Saccharomyces cerevisiae S288C: one gene and its partners. The gene in region 2 interacts genetically with the main gene of each other region. Each region holds a gene or a part of one and is shown on either strand. Other genes may lie near its edges.

Evidence for each region. A genetic interaction does not mean that the proteins touch.
Region 1: mutations in HFD1 (region 2) and PEP7 together harm fitness less than expected from each alone (positive genetic interaction), as found in Saccharomyces cerevisiae (one large-scale study listed by BioGRID).
Region 3: mutations in HFD1 (region 2) and JEN1 together harm fitness more than expected from each alone (negative genetic interaction), as found in Saccharomyces cerevisiae (one large-scale study listed by BioGRID).

Annotation. Positions count from the first base shown.
Region 1 is NC_001136.10:1,111,980-1,118,250, reverse strand, and holds PEP7 (phosphatidylinositol-3-phosphate binding protein), read left to right. Parts: upstream 1-4,223; coding exon 4,224-5,771; downstream 5,772-6,271. Other genes in the region: condensin subunit YCG1, read right to left, coding at 1-1,125; small subunit rRNA maturation protein UTP4, read left to right, coding at 1,488-3,818; TIM11 (F1F0 ATP synthase subunit e), read left to right, coding at 5,958-6,248. UniProt on the Saccharomyces cerevisiae protein: Required for vacuole segregation and vacuole protein sorting. Possibly part of a complex which tethers the vacuole membrane to microtubules, either directly or via kinesin or dynein-like motor proteins.
Region 2 is NC_001145.3:489,894-494,026, forward strand, and holds HFD1 (hexadecenal dehydrogenase), read right to left. Parts: upstream 2,100-4,133; coding exon 501-2,099; downstream 1-500. Other genes in the region: MYO5 (myosin 5), read left to right, coding at 1-353; EUC1 (Euc1p), read right to left, coding at 2,511-3,899. UniProt on the Saccharomyces cerevisiae protein: Catalyzes the oxidation of long-chain aliphatic aldehydes to fatty acids. Responsible for conversion of the sphingosine 1-phosphate (S1P) degradation product hexadecenal to hexadecenoic acid.
Region 3 is NC_001143.9:18,036-24,584, reverse strand, and holds JEN1 (monocarboxylate/H+ symporter), read right to left. Parts: upstream 2,352-6,549; coding exon 501-2,351; downstream 1-500. Other genes in the region: threo-3-hydroxy-L-aspartate ammonia-lyase SRY1, read left to right, coding at 6,246-6,549. UniProt on the Saccharomyces cerevisiae protein: Essential to lactate transport.

The DNA.
Region 1 (6,271 bases), on a different chromosome or scaffold from region 2:
TGTTATATTATTATCCAAACAGTACAAATAAATAGCCCGAAAGAGGAAGGCAATTTCTACGGTAAAGTCTTTCCAAATACTTTCAGGAAATTTGATTTTAGATAATATATCTGGCCTTGATTGAAAAAGTGCTTCTATAGCCTTAACACACACTGAGGATCTTGAGACATCCAATTTTTCTAGTAATTCTATCAAATCGCCATCCAGAGCATTTAACCAATCATGAGCAATGAGTCTCTTACACGCATTTCTCACTGATAATTCCCTATCTTCTAAACCCCACTCAATCAATTGATCAAAAATATGCGGCTCAATATCATCGAAACACTTTCTTCCCATTGATTTCAAAATTCTCGAATACACGAGCCTTCTATTAACGATGTTTACATCTCTAGCCCTCTCCAAGATATACGGTCTAGTATTATTATCATTGATCAAATTCAGCATTGCAGCCCTCCGTACTTCAGCTGACGGATCGTTCTGGATAGAAGCAACTAGAGTTCTCGTAGCTTCAAAATTTTCTTCATTATCAGAAAGCTCAGTTAAATGTTCAGTTTGCTCTTCATCCTGAAATTTAGTTAAACAAAACACAGCCTGTATCCTAACCGTTGGTTCTCTATCATAAATCCTCTTATTTAAAGACAATATTAATAAATTGAAAAGTGATTCATCGATTTCCCCTATATTATCCATTATAACGGCTAATAACTGTAAAACTCTAAATCTGACGTTCTTGTCAGGGCTTTCCACACCACGCAAAACATGTCTTATGAACTGATCGACGAACCTTGAGAATATCCCTTCTTCATCATTCGTGAGCTTATAGTTTTGTTTTTTGGCCAATATCAACTCCCTTTCTAAAGAAGCTATAAATGCAGCTACTAACTTTACTATCCTGTCTCCGATAATCTCATTCTTTTTCAGAGGAAGGATCTTAGTAACTAATTTATCGAACCAAAAGTTAAAAGCATCTTCATAGCCTTGCTCAACAGCCTTTGACTGAATTTTCTTCAAAACTGCTATATGCTTCCTGTGTCCTGCATAAGAACCCTGTGCCTTTTGAAATACTTCAGCAACTGAGTTAAAGATTTTCGTATTAATGTCAATACCATCAGGATCTTGCATGATGGGCGCGGCCTGTTAACTTCTTTGTCTTATCCAAGGCTGTAGGCATTACTGAAGTGTTTTTGTTTGATCTTCAAAGAGCTAAAAAGGTAAACAAACACGAAGGCTCTACCCTTTCATATGCGGTGCACGGATTTTAAAAGTCGCAATAACTCAAGAATACGATAGATGCAATAAATCAGAGGTAAAGTGCTTTAGGCTAATACTATGAGCAATTCAGTATAACCTGCATTATCTCCTTGTTTTCCTTTGTATCCCCCATGATTTTTTTTTCTTGTTATTCCTCTTGATACCATATTAGGCAGGATTTTTTTCAAAAAACCAAATGAAAAATTTTCAGACTGACAAGAAAAAAGCTACGAATGAGCTCATCGCTACTTTCAGTTTTAAAAGAAAAGTCAAGAAGCCTGAAAATACGAAACAAACCGGTGAAGATGACCAGTCAGGAAAGGATGATAGTGCATAGATGCAGATTTGTGGATTTCACTCCTGCCACAATCACATCTCTAGCATTTTCACATAAATCAAATATAAATAAGTTAACTCCGTCCGATTTGAGATTAGCTATTGGTAGATCTAATGGTAACATAGAAATCTGGAATCCTAGAAACAATTGGTTTCAGGAAATGGTTATCGAAGGTGGCAAAGACAGATCAATTGAAGGCCTTTGCTGGAGCAACGTTAACGGCGAGTCTCTAAGGCTATTTTCTATTGGCGGCTCGACTGTGGTAACAGAATGGGATTTAGCAACAGGTTTACCATTAAGAAACTATGATTGCAATTCAGGTGTGATATGGTCTATTTCCATCAACGATTCACAAGACAAGCTGTCTGTGGGTTGCGATAATGGGACGGTGGTCCTCATAGATATCTCTGGCGGGCCTGGTGTCTTGGAACACGATACTATTTTGATGAGACAAGAAGCCAGAGTATTGACTTTGGCTTGGAAAAAGGATGACTTCGTGATTGGTGGTTGTTCTGATGGTAGAATAAGGATTTGGTCTGCACAAAAAAATGACGAAAACATGGGTCGTCTATTACACACTATGAAGGTCGACAAGGCCAAAAAAGAATCAACTCTAGTTTGGTCAGTTATATATTTACCAAGAACTGATCAGATTGCCTCTGGTGATTCTACAGGCTCCATTAAATTCTGGGATTTCCAGTTTGCCACGCTAAACCAGTCATTTAAGGCGCACGATGCAGACGTACTGTGTCTAACTACCGATACTGATAATAATTATGTTTTTAGTGCTGGTGTGGACAGAAAAATCTTTCAATTTTCTCAAAACACTAACAAATCTCAAAAGAACAACAGATGGGTAAATTCTTCTAATAGGTTGCTTCATGGAAACGACATTAGAGCAATATGTGCATACCAATCTAAAGGTGCAGATTTTCTAGTTTCAGGAGGTGTTGAAAAAACACTAGTCATCAACTCACTTACTTCTTTTTCTAATGGAAACTACAGGAAGATGCCAACTGTCGAACCTTATTCAAAGAATGTTTTAGTTAACAAAGAGCAACGCCTTGTTGTTTCATGGAGCGAATCTACTGTTAAGATATGGACAATGGGAACCGATTCTAGTACAGAACAGAATTATAAGCTAGTTTGCAAGTTAACTTTAAAAGATGACCAGAATATCTCAACTTGTTCTTTATCACCTGATGGACAAGTTTTAGTCGTAGGGAGGCCCTCTACCACTAAAGTTTTTCATTTACAGCCCGTAGGTAATAAATTGAAAGTGACTAAACTAGATAATGACCTATTATTGAGAACTTCCACAAAATTAGTCAAGTTCATCGATAATTCCAAAATTGTCATATGCTCTTGCGAAGATGATGTATTTATTGTGGATCTAGAATCTGAAGAAGATGAAAAACCGCAAGAAGTTGAACTTTTGGAGGTTACTTCAACTAAGAGCAGTATCAAAGTTCCCTATATTAACAGGATCAACCATTTGGAAGTAGACCAGAACATTGCAGTAATTTCTCGTGGCTGTGGAGTCGTAGACATATTAGACTTAAAAGCAAGGATTTCTAAACCACTTGCTCGTTTGAATAATTTCATCACCGCTGTTCATATCAATACTTCTAGAAAATCTGTAGTAGTAATTACTGCAGACAATAAGATTTATGAATTCAATATGAATTTGAATTCGGAAGCCGAGAATGAAGATAGCGAAAGCGTATTAACTCAATGGTCAAAAAACAATACGGATAACTTACCAAAAGAATGGAAGACATTAAAAGAGAACTGTGTAGGGATATTTTCAGACATAGAAAATAGTAGCAGATTATGGTTTTGGGGGGCTACTTGGATATCAAGAATAGACTTTGATGTTGACTTCCCTATAAATAAGAGAAGAAAACAGAAAAAACGTACACACGAAGGGCTAACTATCACAGATGAAAGTAATTTCATGAACGACGAGGAAGATGACGAAGATGACGATATTGATATGGAAATCAGCGAAAACTTGAATGTATTATTAAACCAAGGAAACAAAATAAAGTCCACAGATGTACAAAGAAACGAAGAAAGCTCCGGTCACTTCTTCTTTACTGATAAATATAAACCTTTACTGTTTGTTGACTTAATTTCTAGTAATGAATTGGCAATAATTGAAAGAAATCCATTAACTTTTCACTCCAAACAAAAGGCGTTTATTCAACCAAAGTTAGTGTTTTGATTAATTTAAGTCAACATACCGAAGAATAGAGAGATGCTATTAAAAGGCTATCATACTCTAAGGGCATTTTTCAGTTACAAAAAACTCTAATGGCGTTAGTACTTTATAGAAACTCGCTAATGTAAAATAGCCAAGCACATACGCAGACATATATATGTAGTAATCACGTATGCAGACATTAAATGTGAGCCATTTATTGGTATAAATGTATTCCTGAATTACAAAAGTACTGGCGATGGAATCACTCTGGCTATCACTGTTATTTCCAGGCAGGGTAATACTTTGGGAAAACAATAGAATAATGAAAACATATGATCAGTAGCTAAATTGACCGACCTAAAGAGCAAAGCCGGATCTCATGGTTTTTAAAGGGATATCACCGAATTTCCTGGCGACTTATCTATTATGGATCTTGAAAATGTTTCATGTCCCATTTGTCTAAGGAAGTTTGATAACTTACAAGCACTAAATGCACATTTAGATGTTGAGCATGGGTTTAACGATAATGAAGATTCACTCGGTTCCAATGACAGTCGTTTAGTCAATGGTAAACAAAAAAAGGCCAGATCTGTTGATAGCAGTGCGCAAAAGTTGAAAAGAAGCCATTGGGAAAAATTCAAAAAAGGGAAGAGCTGCTGTCACACATGTGGAAGGACTTTGAATAACAATATTGGCGCCATTAATTGTAGGAAATGTGGTAAACTGTATTGCAGAAGGCATCTTCCTAATATGATTAAACTTAATCTTTCCGCACAGTATGACCCCAGAAACGGGAAATGGTACAATTGCTGCCATGATTGTTTCGTCACAAAACCTGGCTATAACGATTATGGCGAAGTAATAGATTTAACACCAGAATTCTTTAAGGTACGAAATATAAAAAGAGAGGACAAAAACTTAAGGCTATTACAATTAGAAAATCGGTTTGTCCGTCTAGTTGATGGTCTGATTACACTCTATAACACATATTCTAGATCCATTATTCATAATTTGAAGATGAATAGTGAAATGTCCAAGTTAGAACGTACAGTTACTCCATGGAGAGATGATAGAAGTGTACTCTTTTGTAACATATGTTCCGAACCATTTGGGCTATTACTAAGGAAGCATCACTGCAGATTATGTGGTATGGTTGTTTGTGATGATGCAAACAGGAACTGCTCAAACGAAATAAGCATAGGTTATTTAATGTCTGCAGCGTCAGATCTGCCATTCGAATACAATATACAGAAGGATGATTTACTTCATATTCCTATATCCATAAGATTGTGCTCGCACTGTATCGATATGCTATTTATTGGCAGGAAATTTAACAAGGACGTTAGAATGCCGCTAAGTGGAATATTTGCTAAATATGATAGCATGCAAAATATATCCAAAGTAATTGATAGTCTCCTGCCCATTTTTGAAGACTCATTGAATAGCCTGAAGGTGGAGACTGCCAAGGATTCTGAAAATACACTTGATCCAAAGAATCTGAATGATCTCGCTCGATTAAGACATAAATTACTCAATTCTTTTAACTTGTATAATACACTAACAAGACAGCTCTTAAGTGTAGAACCTCAAAGTCATCTAGAGAGACAACTTCAAAATTCGATCAAGATAGCTTCCGCTGCATACATAAACGAAAAAATCCTACCGTTGAAGTCGCTTCCGGCAATTTTGAACCCAGAGGGCCATAAAACGAATGAAGATGGGCAAAAAGCTGAACCAGAGGTAAAGAAATTATCGCAACTAATGATCGAAAACTTGACCATAAAAGAAGTGAAAGAGCTGAGAGAAGAATTGATGGTCCTAAAGGAACAAAGCTACCTTATTGAGTCCACAATTCAGGACTATAAGAAGCAGCGTAGATTGGAGGAGATCGTCACACTTAATAAGAACTTAGAAGAATTGCACTCAAGAATACATACCGTTCAATCGAAGCTGGGTGACCATGGGTTTAATTAAGACATATCTTTATTATTCGATCATTCGCGGAATCTCCACGCTAATTGGTCCGCGGAGCCAATCAGATCTATTTAAGGGTATAAATTTTTCTTTAGTTTTTTTGACTTTTCACACAGAAATTTTAGATAAAAGGAAGTATTATATCGGAACATAACGTATATAGGAACTAGCTGAGTGAGTTAAAGGATGTCGACAGTTAATGTTTTGAGATACTCTGCGTTGGGTTTGGGGCTATTTTTTGGTTTTAGAAATGATATGATTTTGAAGTGTAATGCTAAGAAGAAAGAGGAGCAGGCACAGTACGAGGAGAAATTGAAGCTGGTAGAGGAGGCAAAGAAGGAATACGCCAAGCTACACCCTGTAGTAACTCCTAAAGATGTGCCTGCGAACGCCTCATTTAATTTGGAAGATCCTAATATAGATTTTGAAAGAGTTATTCTTAACGCCGTTGAATCCCTGAAGGAAGCTTCAACATAAATAGAAGCTTCAACATAAATAGG
Region 2 (4,133 bases):
CTGAGTTACCTTTAAAGAAAGGAGACGTAATTTACATTACAAGAGAAGAACCAAGCGGTTGGTCTCTCGGGAAACTTCTGGATGGCTCTAAGGAAGGTTGGGTGCCAACAGCTTACATGAAACCACATTCCGGAAATAATAATATCCCTACTCCTCCTCAAAACAGGGATGTTCCTAAACCCGTTCTGAATTCTGTACAACATGATAACACCTCTGCAAACGTTATTCCAGCTGCAGCCCAAGCAAGTTTGGGTGATGGTTTGGCGAATGCGCTTGCTGCTAGGGCCAATAAAATGAGATTAGAGAGTGATGACGAGGAGGCTAACGAAGATGAAGAGGAAGATGATTGGTAATCAAAATGTATTTAGCGAGTATATACTCTATACGAGCAAATAGAGTAAATTGTAATTAATAAATATTGATATATTATCGCCCATATGAAATTTTTAAACGAAAGGTTACTTATACATCAAATAATTAATTAACCTTAAACATTACGTTCAGGAAGAACAATGAGCGTAAATGGTACTAATTAAAATAACGGCGGCAGATAATGAAAAATATTGGCGTAACCCCCACTTGTTATTGCCATTTCTGTCAAACCAAGGTTTTCTTTCCATCGCAAAACGGACGAGCTTTTCCTTTTGTGCGCTATTTGGAGGGTATCTCATAAAAAGGGTAAAATCATTCCAATATGGTTGTTTAAAAATTGTTCTTTCATGACTAAAGGTATTGAATCCATAATATCCACCATAGTTACCATAACCTGAAGTACCGATCCCTCCAAATGGAGCGTCGGTAATTCCTACATGAATCACTGTATCACCGACAACACAGTCACCAGATCTTAAGCGCGTCAAGATACGATTTATTTCAGTTTGGCTATCAGAGAATATGTATTGCACCAATGGAGTGTCATGTTCTTCTATTATCTTGTTAATGGTCTCATCAAGATCCTCGTACTCAATGATGGGCAATACAGGAGCAAAGTTTTCCTGTTTCATCAAAGGATCATCCCAACCAATGTTATAAACTATGGTTGGTGGTACAAGGCATAGATCCTCAGTATCTGAATTGATAGAAATTTTTGAAGGCACAATCTTGGAGCCGTTAGTTGAGTTTATACTTGCAACGGCCTTTTTGTAAGCAGGCTCATGAATCATACGAGTGAAATCTGTTTGTTCATCAAAGCTTGGATAAAATTCATTTAGTACTGATTCACACTCTTTAATGACTTTTGGATAGATAGATTTATGTACTAACAAATAATCTGGTGAAACACAAATCTGGCCAGAATTTCCGAAAGCACCAAAAAAAATCCTTTTCAAAGCAATTTTTATGTTACTTGCTTTGAAATTTTCTGTAATAAAGGTAGGTGATTTACCACCAAGTTCAAGTACACAAGGTGTTAGACTTTTTGCTGCTTTCTCAGCAACTATTGATCCGACACGGGGAGAACCTGTGTAGAATATTAGGTCAAATTTTCCACAATCTAGTAGTCTTGTAGTTTCATCTATAGCTCCCTGAACTACTTGAATCAATCCATCAGGGAAACCAGCTGTGGTTAACAAATTTTCCATAACTACAGCAGTGTGTGGTGTTAGTTCACTTGGCTTCAGAACAATGGTGTTACCTGCAGCAAGAGCTGCTGCCAATGGGGCAAATGCTAAAAGTAGGGGAAAATTGAAAGGAGCAATAATCAAGACACTGCCCCTTGATATTTTCTCCACGATTGTTTTACCAAACATAAATGGAGGAGAAGAATCAGATACTCTCCGAGGTTTGATCAATTTTGGTAAAATCTCAATTAGGTGAAGTATATCGTTCATAAGTTTGGTCGTTTCATTCAGAACCGATTCAATTTTGTTCCGATGAAAGTCCTTGTACATAGCATCGATCAGTTCTTCCTCATGATCTTTGACGGCATAATAGAGTTTTTTCAACTGCAACTGCCTGAATTCTAGATCTTTTTTCCTTGGGTTATTTTCGTGGGACAATTTCAATTGTTTCTCAAAGAAGAAATTTCTTGAGATTTCAACTATTTCATCTATTTTAGACACTGGGGTATAATTCAATATTTTTGAGCCGTCGTTTGACATGTTGGTGATAAATTACTATGGCTATGGTTTTAGAATATTCCTTTTAGATAATCAATATGCCTGAAGTTTTGTTTTTTATATATGGAGTATCCGTTTATCCCTAAAATCCGAAGAATCTCCTCCTAAAACGACAAAAAAAAGGGTAAGCAATCCACCATCTAATTAAATCACTAATATTAGATTGAATTTTCGAACCTATCTAAAAGTGGGATCTTGATGTAAAATTGACTGATAGATAAAAGGCTTGGAGTCGATAGTTGATATATCAGTACACCGGTAATTGTCTATTATATACCCTGTTGGCATGAAATCCATATAGGACGGTATATATTTATATATAAAATGCATGTAAAAATCTTTCATCATGAACTACTCGGAATTTTTGGCTGGAAATTCGTTGTTCCATTTCCTCTAAGTGTCTTGATCATGTTCTGGTGTGCCTGTACTGGAATTTGGTATACTATGTGGCTGCTGTAATGATAATCTAGCTTCTCTCTCTTCTAACAAGAAAATTCTTCTTGGCTTCCCTCTTCTCTTTAGAGTAAGTGAATAGTCTTCGAGTTTGTCCATTTTTTTGGAGAAGTATTCGTATAACTGGGACATTGATAATCGGCAATGATGTCCTTTGAAGGTATTGTTTCCCAATCTTATATTTTCGACAACCTTGATGGCTTGGTTTCTACTTATTTTATTCTCAGGTAGCGACAAACCATATTTGCTTGGATCATCTTTTATATCTATTATTCTTTTTATGATGGTCATTCTTTTAGTGAACAAAGTCCTTTCTTTGGCAGATCGCCTCCAAGTGGACCCATATCTCCTCTCAAGGGAAAGAACTGACGGTTGGCCCGGTAAGCCTTCAAAGTATTCACGGGCCGCATCTGTAACGTTCTGGATTGCACGATTTAGTTTATATGACGTTCCAACGCACCCTCTTCTGTTTCTGATATCATTCTCGTTTCCTGTTCCATCGAGTTGGTTATTACTGTCATCAGCATTGCTAACAGAATCGGGGTTATTTAAAGGTAGGTTCCTGGTGGTAGCGTTCTCATCACTTTCATTACCATCGTATTCCCCATTTTCAAAGTCTGACAGCCCTGGCTCAGGCTTGATACGAGGATCGCCGGCTAATATGCTTGCGTGCATACTATATTCTTGCCAGTTTGTTGATCTTGACTGACTTTGATGAGCTTGCGTACTTGTTGATGGATTTCCAACACGAGCAGCTTCCTGAGGAGTAACATTTTCCCCAGTATGGTCTATAAATCTTATTCTCTCCCCAGTCATAATACCAACTACCTCTTTGAAGACTTCTTTCATTGCGGAAACATCTTCAACATACTTATTGATGTCTTTAAATCCTTTCTCCAACTTCTTTTGATTCTCTAGAAAGAAGAGTTCTTGTTCCTTTTTCATTAGGCTGATTTCTTCCTTCAGATTGGCATTTTGCTCCTCCATTCTGGTTAGTTGTGCTATAAGAAATGCATTGAAATTTGTTTCAGGGGTTTCTTTTATCCTTCCAGGGCCTATTCTGTTGGTCGGTTCTGTTGCCGATGCTGATGTGGATGTAGACACTATGGGAGGTTGAGCAGCGTCTGTCGGTCTGAAAAGAGGATTGATACGGCCTGGGATCATGTACCTATTTAATGCAGCATGTCTTGATACTCCTGTTGGACTTGTGGTTATAGTTCGCTGCCCTAGATCGTGATTCCTGCGTTCAGAATCTCTATCTGAATCATCATCGTCCAACGAGCCGTACCCACCAAAACCTTCTACATAGTTATATTCTCGAGCGGGCATGTTTAATTAATGTGTTGACTCCTGGACTAACTTCTCGATGGCACAAAATGTAGTCTTCTGGCAAAAGACGAAGTTGATTGTTAAATATTTTAAGCTAGCAATGCCCTTTGTACTCTCGTTTGTGTTTGAGTTTCAAGTACGCTTCCTTTTTTTAATTTTTTTACTAATACTAAACTCGTTCTCTTTAGACAATACTGGTTGAAGTAAAGTAAATGCTATATCATCATATGGAAT
Region 3 (6,549 bases), on a different chromosome or scaffold from region 2:
TGCACAGGCCGAGCTTTGATTGTGTATAAGCATACATCCCCCTTCAAAGGTGAAAAGTAATGTCGAAGTATATGGCTATCCAGCCGCACACTGTCCTCAGGGCCCATTCAGTGCAAGAACCAAAATGCTATATTTCTGAACGGCCTAAAATGAATAACGAAATAATTTTTTCCACTTTTACCAATTTGCTGTTCGACTAACATTTCTTTTCTATTACTATTATTGTCTTATAGTGGCAAAAGCAAGCAAAACAATTTAAATTCTTAGACACAGTAATCTACCATCTTGCTAGTGTTAACGGCTGTTATGTTTCTTGCGGCGCTATTTAAATGTACTTACATTCTAATCCCTTCGAGAAAATTAATACAACAAAAATTCTAACTTTAAAGTATGTCGTATATCATGTCTTTTATGTAATGTTATAAAGGCTATAATATGAATATATGTGAAATGCAGTTACATAGAGAAGCGAACACGCCCTAGAGAGCAATGAAAAGTGATTAAACGGTCTCAATATGCTCCTCATATGTCTTTGAGACGTTCGAATCAATCATCTTCACTGAAGCACATTCCGTCTTTTGTTCAACAATGTCACTAATCGAAAGACCATCGGCTTCGTATTCTTCCACTTGGTTTATATATTTCTTCATAACAGGAGAGGACAAATCACGATGGAATTTCTCATGGCCAACAAAAACACAAGCAAATGTGAAGATGAAAACAGAACCAGTCAAGATAGCCATAACTTTGGCATAATCTTCTTTAATCACAGCACCAGAGGCATCTCTTTCTAATGGGTATCTATCAGCTAACTGTGTCTCAATCGTGGAAGCCGCTGCAGAAGCTAGATTACCTAGCTGGTAAGATAAACCGGCAACCAAAGCCCTTGCATCAGCAGGGGCCAACTCTGCAAGGTGAATGGGCAGGATACCCCAGACACCAAAGACACAAAAATATAACATGAAACCGGCACCTAATATAGCCTTTTCGCTTCTCAACATAAATGCAGGGTAGGTGAAGCAACCACCCATTGTGCATGCAATCAATAGGCCTAATCTTCTTCCAGTAACTTCCATGAACTGTCCAAATATCATACCCCCACAAATAGCACCGATGTTGGTAACCACTACAATGACAGTGACAGCATCCTTGGATAGGCCTAATTGGGCACGCAGCATGGTTGGCAACAAGTCTTGAGAAGCATGAGTCAAGTAATTTGGACCCACCAATAAAACAACCAAATATGCGAACAACAACCAGTACTTTTGAACTGTTCTCTTCATGGATACCATCTTTTGTTTAAAGTTGGCTTTTGGTAGAGGCTCGCCACCATTAGCTTTCACTGCGTCACTCAATATTAATTTACGGGCTTTCAAAACCTTGGTGAAGTATTTCGTTTCAGGCCATAACAATCTCCAGAAAATTAGTAGAATTGGTAGAAAAATACTAAACCAAAACAATATTTTCCAGCCATCATCCCTAAAGTAGCCAAAGGCTCTGTAAAAAATGATAGCAAATATGAACCCCATAGCGTAAGCAGAAAAAAATAGACCTGATAGGAACGAACGTGCTTTCACAGGTGCATCTTCAATCGCTGTTGCAGAAGCACATCCGTAAATTCCTCCCATAGCAATACCGGTTATCCACCTTACGCCCAGAAATTTCTCGTATGTGTCACACCATGGAGTACAGAGTTGTGCAATGACAAATAAGAACAAACATGTAATGTACGGCCACTTTCTGGAAGACTTATCTGTCCATAAACCAAATATGACAGCACCTGCTGAACGAACAAATAACACCAATCCCAACCCCCAGGTGATGTCCTTGGTTGGTCTGTCATATAGTTCAGCCAATGGAGCGACTGATACTGAAACGCAAAAGAAGGCCCAAGCCGCAGACAACCACGCAAAATAACCCATAAAAAAATAGTTCCAATTCTGCCATGTCATTTTGCGCAGTTCGGGTATGGGATTGACATTCTCCCAAGAAAACTCGTGGATGTGCAGTAAGGACGTAAATCTCGTTAAAGCATAACTTTTAATGGACGCAGCGCTTAGGTTTGGCTTATCCTCTTCATCTTCCTCATACTCTACACCTTGATCCTGGCTATAAACTCTTTCCAGCAATTCATCATCTCTTGTATCCTGAATTGATTGTGCAGGCAGTGATGGGTTATGGTATAGCTTTTCGTGATCCGGGTTGTAAACTTCCGGCTCATAATTTATAGGGTTACCTTCTCCGTCCACTAGAGGAGGCTCTGCAAATGTACTTGTGTTATAGTATAGTTTTCTGCCAGCAGGTTGTTGCTGTTCACCAGATATTTTCTCATCTGTAATTGACGACGACATATTTTCAGTAGCAGTATTTAATCTCTTTGAGGAAAAACTTTTGAAACTGTTACTCTTCTTCCTTTTAGATCTAAGGGAGAAGGACTAGACAACTTCCAAAACTATTTCTCAACAATGATGTGCAATGTATTTATACATCAAGAGGGTACTTCACTTTGCTGATTTTTTTTTTTTTTTTTTTTTTTTTTTTTTTGGTAAAGGATAGTACCATAGGAGATAGTAAGTGTTACTTAGATCTCCATCCAAATGACCAGGTAACGTTCTAATGCATTATAGTAGAAGGGGGGGCAAAAGACCGTTAAGTGAAGAATTATGGACGTCCGGATGGTGTGCAGAAGCTTACAAACTAACTTCCTGGTGGAGAATAATGGTAGGCTTGGCGGCTCTGAGATGGAGAAATAGTTTCAAGCCGCGCGCTCAATAACTTCCTCGATCACTGACTTTCGCACCCATCTGGGAACGGTACGGCGAATAGTCTTCATTTAATTGGAGCTGATCGAAAATGCTTGCTGCCGCTTCAGCGTGAATGACGCAGGTGCTGCGTTTGTCCTGTGCCTCCTTTTTTTTTTGGAGTCCGTTTGTCGGCTATTAGCTCTTGGGCTCTAACCCCAGGAAAAGGAAAAAGAGAAACACGCCGGTCTAGTGGAGTAAATTGCGGGGTCAGGATCCCGCGCGGATATCGGCCGTTCAAAGGGTGAAAAGAAGAAATCATTGGAGTCGTTGCGAGTCATTCTTTACGAATCTAATTTCTCCAAATTTTTACAGGTATTCTTAGCCGCCCAAGGTAGCATACAATGACCTTCTATTGCAAAAATGTACAGTGGAATGTAAAAACAGTGGGGACAAACCTGTGGAACACTAAGCGTGGGGGTCCATCCACTTAAACTAAATCGTATTGTTTAAAAGTGTGCAAGCATTGCGATAACGTTCGATTAGACTCTGAATGGAAGACAATGAGTTGATTTTGCTACCAGCAAAAAAAATAATTTATAAACACATTATTCTTGCAATATTTTTCATACTGTGCGTTTATACCTTTTGAAAATTATAGATCCATTTATATATTAATTAACATCCGAAACAAAAGGAAAGTGCGAGGACCGGCCCACCCGATGACTAACGGGAAAGTGGACATGATTTGCCATTTGTACGGGTAATATTTACATATTATTTGATGTGCTTCTTTGGATTGTGTGCAATCACTTACTTCACAGTGTCTATGTAAGAGATGTGAGAGTGTAGCTCGGAAGGTGGAGACATCTCCTAGATCTTGTCTGGCTTCGTTGGGGTAGCCATGAGAAGTTTTCCATTCCCCCGGGTCATGCATGCTGCCCGAGTCAAATAGCGTTTAACTTTGACTCGTACGCCATAATAGGTTATGTTTTATCTTTGGTCAGGGACCCCAGTATTGAGAAAGTAACCTAGGGATGCTACGCCCCAGCTTTACTACGTGGATGATACAGTAAGCACATACATATTGACGGCATCTAATCGTTCTAAACGGAAAAATAGGCGCTGATTTGATCCACTTCGGTTAGGTAACCGCTGATGCCAACGATCTAGGGCCCTTCCATTTTAGGAAAAAGGGTATATACTCTGATGCCCTGTCTGGCCGAACATTCGTATATGTGGATGTATCGTGATCCGTTCGTATTCAATAAAAGTGTAACGATCTCATCTCAAGTCAAAAGTGAGAAGGGAATAACTAAAAAAGAAAAACTGATATTTTGACGTGACGTGGTTTATTAGCAAGTATGTTTCAACCATTCTCAGCGTAAACCCTATCACAATAACGTCTCTATGAAAAGTTTAACATTTTGTCTATCTCGGTTCAATCAGTTGAATAGCGAACCTTATAGCAAATAGCATTTTCAATAAAAATGTGACATACAGACTTCCACTTTTCTTGCTTTTCTCATGCTCTGTGTGATGCTACTGTTACCGCGGCACCACATTTTGGCATACGTCGGGACATTGGCGGCTGAATAGATTATACCCGTCGCCCTTTTTTCATCTCTCCTTTTCTTTTTGTCGTAAGCAAATTACAGAATTGAATATTTGAATAACCCTAAAAAAAATGCCACTCCCCTAAAAACAAACCAGATTAAGTTGCAAGAAATAGACTGATTGGAACATACGGGTCCTATTCAGTGCTCAATAAAAATTAAAATAATGTGATCAAACAACCCGAGACTATTCTTGAATTAGCATTAGCCACTATAAATTTTAACATTTTTCAGAGTCTTTCGTGCGGAGACCGTAAATATTAGCATTGACCTTGTCAATGAAGTAATTGTCTTTGATTTTAACCGTGTTAAAGATTTCGCAAAAGAGAAAGCTTGCTGGCTTGGAGCAGTAACTTTTTTTGATTTTTTTTTACAAGCACACATGCTTTTGCCTTTAGAATATTACGGCTCCTCATGTGGATAGTAAAAACTTGACCGTTGCATCTGTTCTCCTTCGAACAAAGAATAAATCGTCTGAAAAATCACATAGAAAAATAATAGAAAAATAAAAAACATAGTAACATATTTTAAAAGAGACCTTTTATTGAAGAAAATTTGGCGATAAAAATGATTATAACATTGAAATGACGAAGAAAAGGACAGTGCCCGAATTCTCGATTCCAATAAAAGGCGAAAAATTACAATCGCCAGCATGTTTGGTACGGGGCGACTCGTGGCATTTTAAAGTACGCTGGCATGTTTAAAGGTATTAGTGTTCTTGGCGTGGAAAGTGCAGGTGTCTCACTTTTTAGAACGAACAAATTCAAACAATATACAACAATCCGCCGAAAACATTCCAGAAATTAAGATTGTTAAGCACTTTTGCTAAGAAAAAAAAAGGGCTCTCCCCTGTGAATTAACTCAAAGGTAGCGTGTTCTGCCTATGCAAGGTGACCGTTTTTGCAGATATTGTAGTGAGATGCTCTACAAAAGGGGTTTCCTAATCTAATCTTTTACCATATCAAAAATGCCCTAATATTATTATTAAAGAGCTATCAAAGCCTGATTCCTTAGGTATATGACTAGTTCCCGAATTAATGGCATTGATTCATTACTTATTTTATTAGGGGGATGATAAAAATAATGATATCTTTTTCTGCAGCGTCATTTAAGTACTGATTGAGACTGACAGTTGTGATAGAGATATTAAGTAGTAGAAACGGTCCATGAATTGTTCTTTGTTAATATTCTTGCTGAGGGAGGCTTTTCTTTTGGGCTGCTATGCTTTCATTCTACTTAAGCAACGAGATAGGAAGCTTCAAAAGGTGAATGGTGAAATGCTGAAGAAGATTTCGTCATTCCAATCCTCGAGAGTGCGACGTAAGTAGTGACTCTAATGAATTTTCTATGCCTCATAAAGCTTGAGGTATATTTATCCATACGCAAATAATACACGATCTAGGATTATTGTAGTATGTTATTGTTTGACAATATCCTTGGACAAGTTCTAATCACTTATATTTCCCAAACATGATTCGTGTATTTTGGCGTTAGAAAACGACGGCAAGTAAGCTCCCAACATTTACTTGACGAGTTTTTTGTCACTATCATCACGCCCTAGAGCCAAGTTATATTTTTATCGTAAATTCTGTAAATTAACAGTCATTCTAAGCAGGTTGTTTTAATATTTACAGGTAACTTGGCTGACTTCTTTTAAATGTGGCTTCTATGACAAAAAAACTGAAAAAAATGACTAATTAGTAAATTCAGCCTCTTATCATAAAATCAGGGTCTATAGGACGGTACGTGAGAAAAAGATAAGCTTTGGAATATAAAGAGTTACATTTTCATTCTGCAAAAATTCAAATAAAGGAGTATTGAAAAAAAACTTAAAAAGTACAAATAATTAATATAGTTCGAGATATTTAGTTTTCATTGAGTTGGAAAAATGATTGTTCCCACTTATGGAGACGTTTTGGATGCCAGCAACAGAATTAAAGAATATGTAAATAAAACACCGGTTCTCACTTCACGAATGCTTAATGATCGACTTGGAGCACAAATATACTTTAAAGGTGAGAATTTCCAACGAGTGGGAGCGTTCAAGTTTCGTGGAGCAATGAATGCTGTTTCAAAATTAAGTGATGAAAAAAGAAGTAAGGGAGTAATTGCCTTCTCATCAGGAAACCATGCACAGGCTATTGCTCTTAGTGCAAAACTATTAAATGTACCTGCAACAATTGTTATGCCCG